Linked DNA regions of Sus scrofa. The protein of the gene in region 2 purifies or fractionates together with the protein of the main gene of each other region. This does not show direct contact. Links are inferred from orthologs where the notes say so. Each region holds a gene or a part of one and is shown on either strand. Other genes may lie near its edges. The genes, in order: SLC27A1 and PBXIP1.

Region 1 (3,803 bases), on a different chromosome or scaffold from region 2:
CATTCATGCATATAAGAATTTGTTGTAGTAAAATGCATGTAAGATTTACCATCGAGTACATTCACAGTGTGGTGCAACCATCAGCTCTATCCAGAAAAAGTCCCTCACCCCAAAAGGAAACGCTGTTCCTATTAGCAGTCACTTCCCATACCCCCAGCCCCGAGCAACCACTAATCTGCTCTGTCTTCAAGGGTGATTTTTGAGGTGTAATTTATATATCATAAAATGCACCTGTTCTAAGTGTACAGTTGGGATTTGGGGTACCACATGCAGGTAACCACCGCCATCAAGATATGGAACAGGAGTTCCCATTGTGGCTCAGTGGAAATGAGTCTGACTAGCATCCATGAGGACGATGGTTCGATCCCTGGCCTTGTTTAGTGGGTTAAGGATCCGGCATTGCTGTGAGCTGTGGTGTAGGTCACAGACGCGGCTTGGACCCTGTGTTGCTATCTATGGCTATGGTGGAGGCTGGCAGCTACAACTCCTACTCGACCCCTAGCCTGGGAACTTCCATATGCCATGGGTGTGGCCCTAAAAAGACAAAAAAAAAAAAAAAGATATAAAATATTTTTATCTGTCTGCAGTGGACATGTTGAGTCCAGGGGTGTGGAAGCTATTGCAGAGAATCAAGGAAGCACAGAGGAGGCAGCGGGGGTGCAGAGGATGGATTTCATAACCAATTTGATGCCAGAGCTGGTGGGACACAGTGCCAGATGCTGGTGCCAGATGAAGCCTAAAGAGGGGGTGGAGTCAGGACCACTTATATTGGCAGAGCAAGCTGCTGTAACAAACAGGCCCCTACTTGTCATTGGCTTAATCCAGCACAAGGTTACTAACCTCTCAGAGCCAGGGGCTCTGGGTGGCAGGGTAGGAAGCCAAAGAAAGCCAGGAGAACACTTGTTTCTTGAGCTCGTACACTGAGAAATTCTGGATTTCTTAGTTCTGTGATCGAAAGCGATTTGTTTGCTTAAAACCACACAAGTTCATTTCTCACTCATCTGAAAGCATGGCATCCGTGACTGCTGCTCATCTCCACAGGGTCATTCAGGAACCTGGCTCCTTTTACTGGGCTTCTACTTTCCCCTGGCTCCCCTGGTCCCCTTAGAGCTACTAGCTGAGGGGGATGGGGGAACAAGTCATCTGCCATCAGGGCCTCTTGCTAGCCTGTCCCCTGGCCCTGCCTGGGGCAGAGGCAGCTCCTCCCACGGGTGCCTAGTGCTGCCGAGTAACTTGGGAGTGGGACAGTCACCCAGCTCACAGATGGACCCCACAGCCTGGTTGTGGAGTGGAGCATGAGGCATCCAGGCTGGAGCCAGTGGCAGGTCCACACGGGGTGCTGGGGACATCCCAGGGAGGAGAAATGAAGGACTGGGCCCTGGCTCCTTCAGGGTCACTGAGCAAGCTGGGGTAAAGGAGGTTGGGGTGACTCAATTACATGGCATGGTCTGGCCAGCTCTGAGAACCCGCCTATTTCCGGGCTGGTTGGTAAATGGCCCTTTGTCCTTAGTCCCCTAGAGCTCAGCAACCCAAGGGTCTTCAGGGAACCCTCGCCACTCTGGGAGGTAGGGGGACCTTTCCCTCTGCTTTCTCCATGTGGGGATGCTGAGGCTCCAGGAGGTCTCCCAGAAGCCGGGCTGGATGCCCAGTGACACCAACCCCTCATCCCCTCTCCCAGCGGCCTCTCCGTGTTGATCCGTGTGCGCCTAGAGCTGCGGCGGCACCAGCGCGCCCGCCACACCATCCCGCAGATCTTCCAAGCGGTGGCACGGCAGCAGCCTGAGCACCTGGCGCTGGTGGACGCTGGCAGCGGCGCATGCTGGACCTTCGCACAGCTGGATGCCTACTCCAATGCTGTGGCCAACCTCTTCCGCCAGCTGGGCTTTGTGCCGGGTGATGTGGTGGCTATCTTCCTGGAGGGCCGGCCTGAGTTTGTGGGGCTGTGGCTGGGCCTGGCCAAGGCGGGCATGGAGGCCGCTCTGCTCAATATTAACCTGCGGCGGGAGCCCCTGACCTTCTGCCTGGGCACCTCGGGCGCCAAGGCCCTGGTCTTCGGAGAGGAGCTGGCAGTGGGTGAGGCTGGGGGCGGGCATTTTCTTGGTGGGGGCAGGGAGACGGTGCCCCCCCCAGGCTGTGGGAAGGGACCTGTCCATCCTTGACCGTGGCATATGTTTCGGGCCTCAGCGGTGGCCGAGGTGAGCGGACAGCTGGGCAAGAGCCTGGTCAAGTTCTGTTCTGGAGACTCGAGGCCTGAGGGCCTCTTGCCGGACACCCAGCTCCTGGATCCGCTGCTGAAGGAGACCTCCACAGCCCCCCTGGCACAGCCCCCTGGCAAGGGCATGGATGGTGAGCTGGTGTGGGGGGTCCCTCTGCTGAATCCCACCCTGTCCCCTCCTCCCACCCACCCCAGCCTCTGGTCCCAACACTTGACTCTCTCTCTCAGATCGACTCTTCTACATCTACACGTCAGGGACCACGGGGCTGCCCAAGGCTGCTATCGTCGTGCACAGCAGGTGTGGGGCCCGTGGGTGTTGTCCCCAGTGCGGAAGGACTACAGATCATCTGTCCCGCCTGATCACCACCCCGCCTCCGGCTCCTGTTGGGGTCTTGTGGGCATCTTGATCCCAACTCAGTAAAACCCACAGCCCACCTCAGGACACAGTGCTGCCCCTCCTCAACCCCCCCCCAACTTCTGCCCCAATAGCCCTCCTCTCCTCAGTGGCCATAGGAGGGTTTAAAATCCTAAATCAAGCCTCCCCTGTGCCAGACCTCCCAATACCCACCTTGGCCCTGATAATAAAAGCCACATCTGCGTTGCCTGGCCCCTGCCACTTCTCTGATGTCATTTTCTTCCTCTCTACCTCTTACTCCCTCCTCCTCCGGCCCTCCCACTTTCTAAAACTGGCCAGACCCCTTCTGATCTCAGGACCTTTGCATGTGTTCTGCCCTCCACCTGGTGCCCTTCCCTAGTGTGCCCCACAGCTCCCTCTTGCCCTGTCTTGGCTTGTGGGTCACCTCCCCAAAAAGGCTACCCCAACCTCCCTGGCTGTGTCCCTTTCAGCTTCTCTCTGTCTCTTTGCCTTATTATATCCCTCATGGCACCTAGCACCATTTTCTTTTTTTGTTGCATGTCCCTCTCTGGCCAGCCTGTAAGGCCCCTCTGAGCTGGGCTGGCTCAGCTTCGCTCCTTGCTGTGTCCCTAGTTCCCAGCACGTACCCATCCCTTCCATGCTTTTTTCAGGGAGATGGGTCCCAGCCCCTGCACCCCTTGCCCCCACAGGTACTACCGCATCGCGGCATTCGGCCACCACTCCTACCGCATGCAGGCAACAGACGTGATCTATGACTGCCTGCCCCTGTATCACTCGGCAGGTAGCAAGGGGCAGCTCGGGTGGGGCAGGGGGCGGGGCCCTGGGGACCCCCCCTCATCGAGTCCACTCTCTGCAGGGAACATCGTGGGCGTGGGTCAGTGTCTCATCTACGGGCTGACGGTGGTCCTCCGCAAGAAGTTTTCAGCCAGCCGCTTCTGGGAGGACTGTGTCAAGTACAACTGCACGGTCAGACCCCGCCCCCTCTCGCCCCTCCTGTGCTCCGCCCACCCGCCCACCCCTGTGGCTCTGAAAGGCTGCCTCCCAGGGACGTGGTGGGGCTGGACGGATGAATCAGTGCCTCAGGCTCCGTGTCTAGCCCGAGGCTAAACTCACTGGATCTTTACAGTTACTTGGAAGCGGCAAAGGCGTCATATCCATTTTGCAGGTGGGGAAACTGAGGCTTCTGATGCAGCTGGGATGGGACACAGATTG
Region 2 (3,803 bases):
GGCCCCCAGCATCTCTACTCCAGACCCAGAGAACCACCCATCACCTCCCTCAGGGCTGGGAGGGGACAGACTCGAACCAGCCAGGACCTGTCCTCACTCACCACTTTCTGAATCTGAAAGGCCACCTAAAAAGGGAGACAGAGGAGGCAGGTCAGGCCCTCTGTGGGGGGGCTGGGCAAAGGACAGCAGGAGGCAGAAGGGGCCAGAGGAGAGGCCCCAGCAGGGGAGGGATGGCTCACCGGAGAAGAGGAGGATGCCTAGACCCAGCAGAACCAGGGCCCCGAGGAACCACATGTTGAGGGAGATGCCCAGCTCCCCGCCCGCGGCCTCGCCTCGGGCCTGGGCCAGGTCCTCTACACCCGGGCGGGCTGCGGGCTGCGGAGTGCTGGGCTCCCGACCCCGCCGTCTCCGCAGACCCTCCACGTCCACATCTGTGTCATCCTCACTGCTGGAGCCATGGACCTCCTCACTGAGCCAAGCTGGAGGGATGAGGACAGGGCAGTAAGGCCACTGGAGAGATGGGACATCCCAAGAGATGCGGAATAGAGGCAAGCACAGGGAGGTCCTCAGCCCTGACGGTGGAGGAGGCACGTGGAGACCCCCACCCACGTCTGCCTGGGCATCCATAACCACCCCCGCCCAGTCCAGCAGCGGGAGATCAGTCCTTCCAATCTATAAACTTCAAGAACTTTTTGGAGTTCCCGTCGTGGCTCAGTGGTTAACGAATCCTGCTAGGAACCATGAGGACTCGGGTTCGATCCCTGGCCTCGCTCAGTGGGTTAAGGATCTGGCATTGCCGTGAGCTGTGATGTAGGTCACAGACGCAGCTCGGATCTGGCATTGCTGTGGCTCTGGCGTAGGCCGGCAGCTACAGCTCCGATTCGACCCCTAGCCTGGGAACCTCCATATGCTGCGGGAGCGGCCCAAGAAATGGCAAAAGACAAAAAAAAAAAAAAAAAAAAAAAAAAAAAAAAGATTTATTTATTTATTTTTTGCACTTTTTAGGGCCACACCCGTGGCACATGGAGGTTCCCACGCTAGGGGTCAAATCGGAGCTACAGCCGCCGGCCTACGCCTCAGCCACAGCAACATAGGATCCGAGCTGGGTCTGCCACCTATACCACAGCTCTCAGCAATGCCAAATCTTTAACCCACTGAGCGAGACCAGGGATCGAACCTGCGTCTTCATGGATGCTAGTTGGGTTCATTACCACTGAGCCACAACAGGAACTCCTACAAGAGCAGCTTTCACCCTAAAAGCACCCTCCTCCCTCCAACGCCACAGGCTCACATCAAGCTCCTGCAGCTATTCCCAGCCCCTGGGGGAAGCGGGGGAGGAGTTAATGATATAGAGGGTACCAAGCCACTAAGTCCTAGGGCCTGTGCCCAGCAGGGATGTCTTCTAGAAGGATAGTGACAAGGAAGACTCTCACCTGTTTTGGCAGATGAGGGCAGGCTGTTGGGGGGGCTCTGATCCTCCAGGTCCTGTGTGTCTGGTCCCAGGCCTCCCACCATGGGGGTCTCCTCCAAGTCTCCCTGGGCCTCTGTGTCTCCTGGGCCAGGAGGCTCCATTCCACAAGCATCACCTTCCAGGCTTCCCTGATGCAGACAGAGCCGTGAGCAGGCCCGTCCCCGCCTTCCTCCCCTCCCCCAGCACGGGTTCTCACCTTGGCTTCCGTCTCCTCTGGCAGAGTCGGGCCAGACCCGGAGCGCCCGCTCTGAAACAGGGTCTCTGTGGCGGGAGAAAGGGCTCAGGAAAAATACCACAGCCCCCAGCTGAACACCCCACGTGGCCCTCTGCCTCCCACAGGCCCCGTCCTGGTTGGAAGAGGCAGGACAAAGCCAGGATGGGACGAGGGAGGAAGGTCTTCAGCTGACATTAAGGCAGGAAATAAGACCGACCAGCCTCCCTCTCCCCAAGGAAACTGGGAAACCCCAGAACACGGGGGAGAGGTGGCTGCACCGCCCCCCCAGCAGCGCCCTGTTACCTTCTCCATCCAAAGTCCCAGCTAATTCTTCAGCAGCTGCCTTGGAGGGGCTCTGAGGGGTGTGGGGGGCGCTCTCAGGCTCTGGGTCCCTCCTGGATTCAGGGCCCAGTGTCTCCACAGGCAAGCTCTGGGGGAAGGGACACAAGCAGAAGGGCTGTCCCAGAGGAAGGACAGCAAGAGCACAGGGTGCTCCACTAGGGTCCCTGGGACCAGCTGCATGGCTCAGGGACCCCAACACACATCTCACCAGAATATGACACGTTCAGTAGCGGGCTGAGCCCGAGAAGGCAGGGGGCGGGGGTCAGCTGGTGCTGCGGCATCTCAGCTCCAGAGAGTGTTTGACCCATTCCCTAAACCTCACTTGCTGCTCTGGGGCACTCTGGGTACTCTGGAAGGCCAAGCTTCTATTAAATGGAGAAGCACCACTGGACCAAGGCACTGGATCACTCTACAAACCTGATGCCCCCCACCACCCCAGAGAGGCCGGCTAGAGCCAGGGCCTCCCTCCCCACAACTGGCAACTCAGTTACTGGCCGGAAGGTGGGTGGATGGTAAAAGAACAAAGTCCCCTGGATGCCGAAGGATCAGCCACATCCCCCACAGGCTTTCACTCCAGTTACATCTTTTTTTTTTTTTGTCTTTTTAGGGCCGTACCTGCAGCATATGGAGGTTCCCAGGCTAGGGGTCTAATTGGAGCTACAGCTGCCAGCCTACGCCACAGCCGGATCCAAGCTGAGTCTGTGACCTACACCACAGCTCACAGCAACGACAGATCCTTAACCCACTGAGAGAGGCCAGGGATCCAACCCACATCCTCAGAGATACCAGTCGGGTTCTTAACCCACTGAGCCACTACAGGAACTCTTCTTCACCATTTTCAAGTCACTTTTTTGCTCATGACCCCTCCCTAAAAGGCAAGAATCACAACTCCCTTTTTAAGGGAAGAGAGAGGTGAAACGGCCTTGCCCGAGGCCCCCCAGCTGTCAGCAAAGGCACCCCAACAGGAGGCCAAGGTTCTGACTAGGCGCATGGTGTCCATCCCAGTATCAGCCTGAGGACAGCTTACTCGAACCTGACGTCCTTACCCTCTCTCCTCCTGGCAGTGCTAATACACCAAGCCCTTGACAAACTTGCTCCAGCCCCTCTGTCCCCCAGCCTGCTGGCCCCCTTCTCAGTGGTTTCAGGGGCACAGGAGTCCCCTAGGCTCCGGCCCCACCAACTACAACCTGAATTGTAGGACCTTCCAAAACTCTCACCTTGTTCCCACCCGACCCATGCAGTGGCAGCCCGCTCTGCCCAAGGTAGGGATTGTCCTGACTCCCTCCACTCAAAGCCCTTTAGTGATTTCCCAGCAGGAGGAGGCCCGAATGCCTATGCCAGGCCCTTCAGGCCCCTTCCAGAAGTTCCCAGGCTGGTAGTTCCCGTCAAGGCTCAACTAGTATCCATAAGGATGCAGGTTCGATGCCTGGTCTCACTCAGTGGGTTAAGGATCTGGCATTGCTGTGAGCTGTGGTGTTAAATTGCAGACGAGGCTGTGGTGTAGGCTGGCAGTTGGAGCTCTGATTCAACCCCTTAGCCTAGGAACCTCCATATGCTGCAGATGTGACCCTAAAGAGACAAAAAAAAAAAGTTCCCAGGCTCTGGCCCCACCTCACTTCAACACCCTCTGACCCACGTCTCCAGCTCCTCCAATGGACCCCTCAGCTAACACAGCTCTCCCACTGTTGCCTCAGAACCTCTGCTTGTGCTGGTCTCCCCACCAGAATTTTGCCCCTACTTCTCCCAGCTTATGCCAGCAAATGCCTTCTTTCTAGG

The links.
Region 1: the proteins of PBXIP1 (region 2) and SLC27A1 purify together in Homo sapiens (co-immunoprecipitation; 3 studies listed by BioGRID and IntAct, with this or other methods). This does not show direct contact. The link is inferred for Sus scrofa from reciprocal best matches to the Homo sapiens genes PBXIP1 and SLC27A1.

What each region holds. Positions count from the first base shown.
Region 1 is NC_010444.4:60,221,832-60,225,634, reverse strand, and holds part of SLC27A1 (long-chain fatty acid transport protein 1 precursor), read left to right. Parts: intron 1-1,678; coding exon 1,679-2,073; intron 2,074-2,184; coding exon 2,185-2,346; intron 2,347-2,443; coding exon 2,444-2,513; intron 2,514-3,280; coding exon 3,281-3,372; intron 3,373-3,447; coding exon 3,448-3,557; intron 3,558-3,803. UniProt on the Homo sapiens protein: Mediates the import of long-chain fatty acids (LCFA) into the cell by facilitating their transport at the plasma membrane.
Region 2 is NC_010446.5:94,840,067-94,843,869, reverse strand, and holds part of PBXIP1 (pre-B-cell leukemia transcription factor-interacting protein 1), read right to left. Parts: intron 2,116-3,803; coding exon 1,989-2,115; intron 1,733-1,988; coding exon 1,668-1,732; intron 1,600-1,667; coding exon 1,434-1,599; intron 480-1,433; coding exon 240-479; intron 126-239; coding exon 102-125; intron 1-101. UniProt on the Homo sapiens protein: Regulator of pre-B-cell leukemia transcription factors (BPXs) function. Inhibits the binding of PBX1-HOX complex to DNA and blocks the transcriptional activity of E2A-PBX1.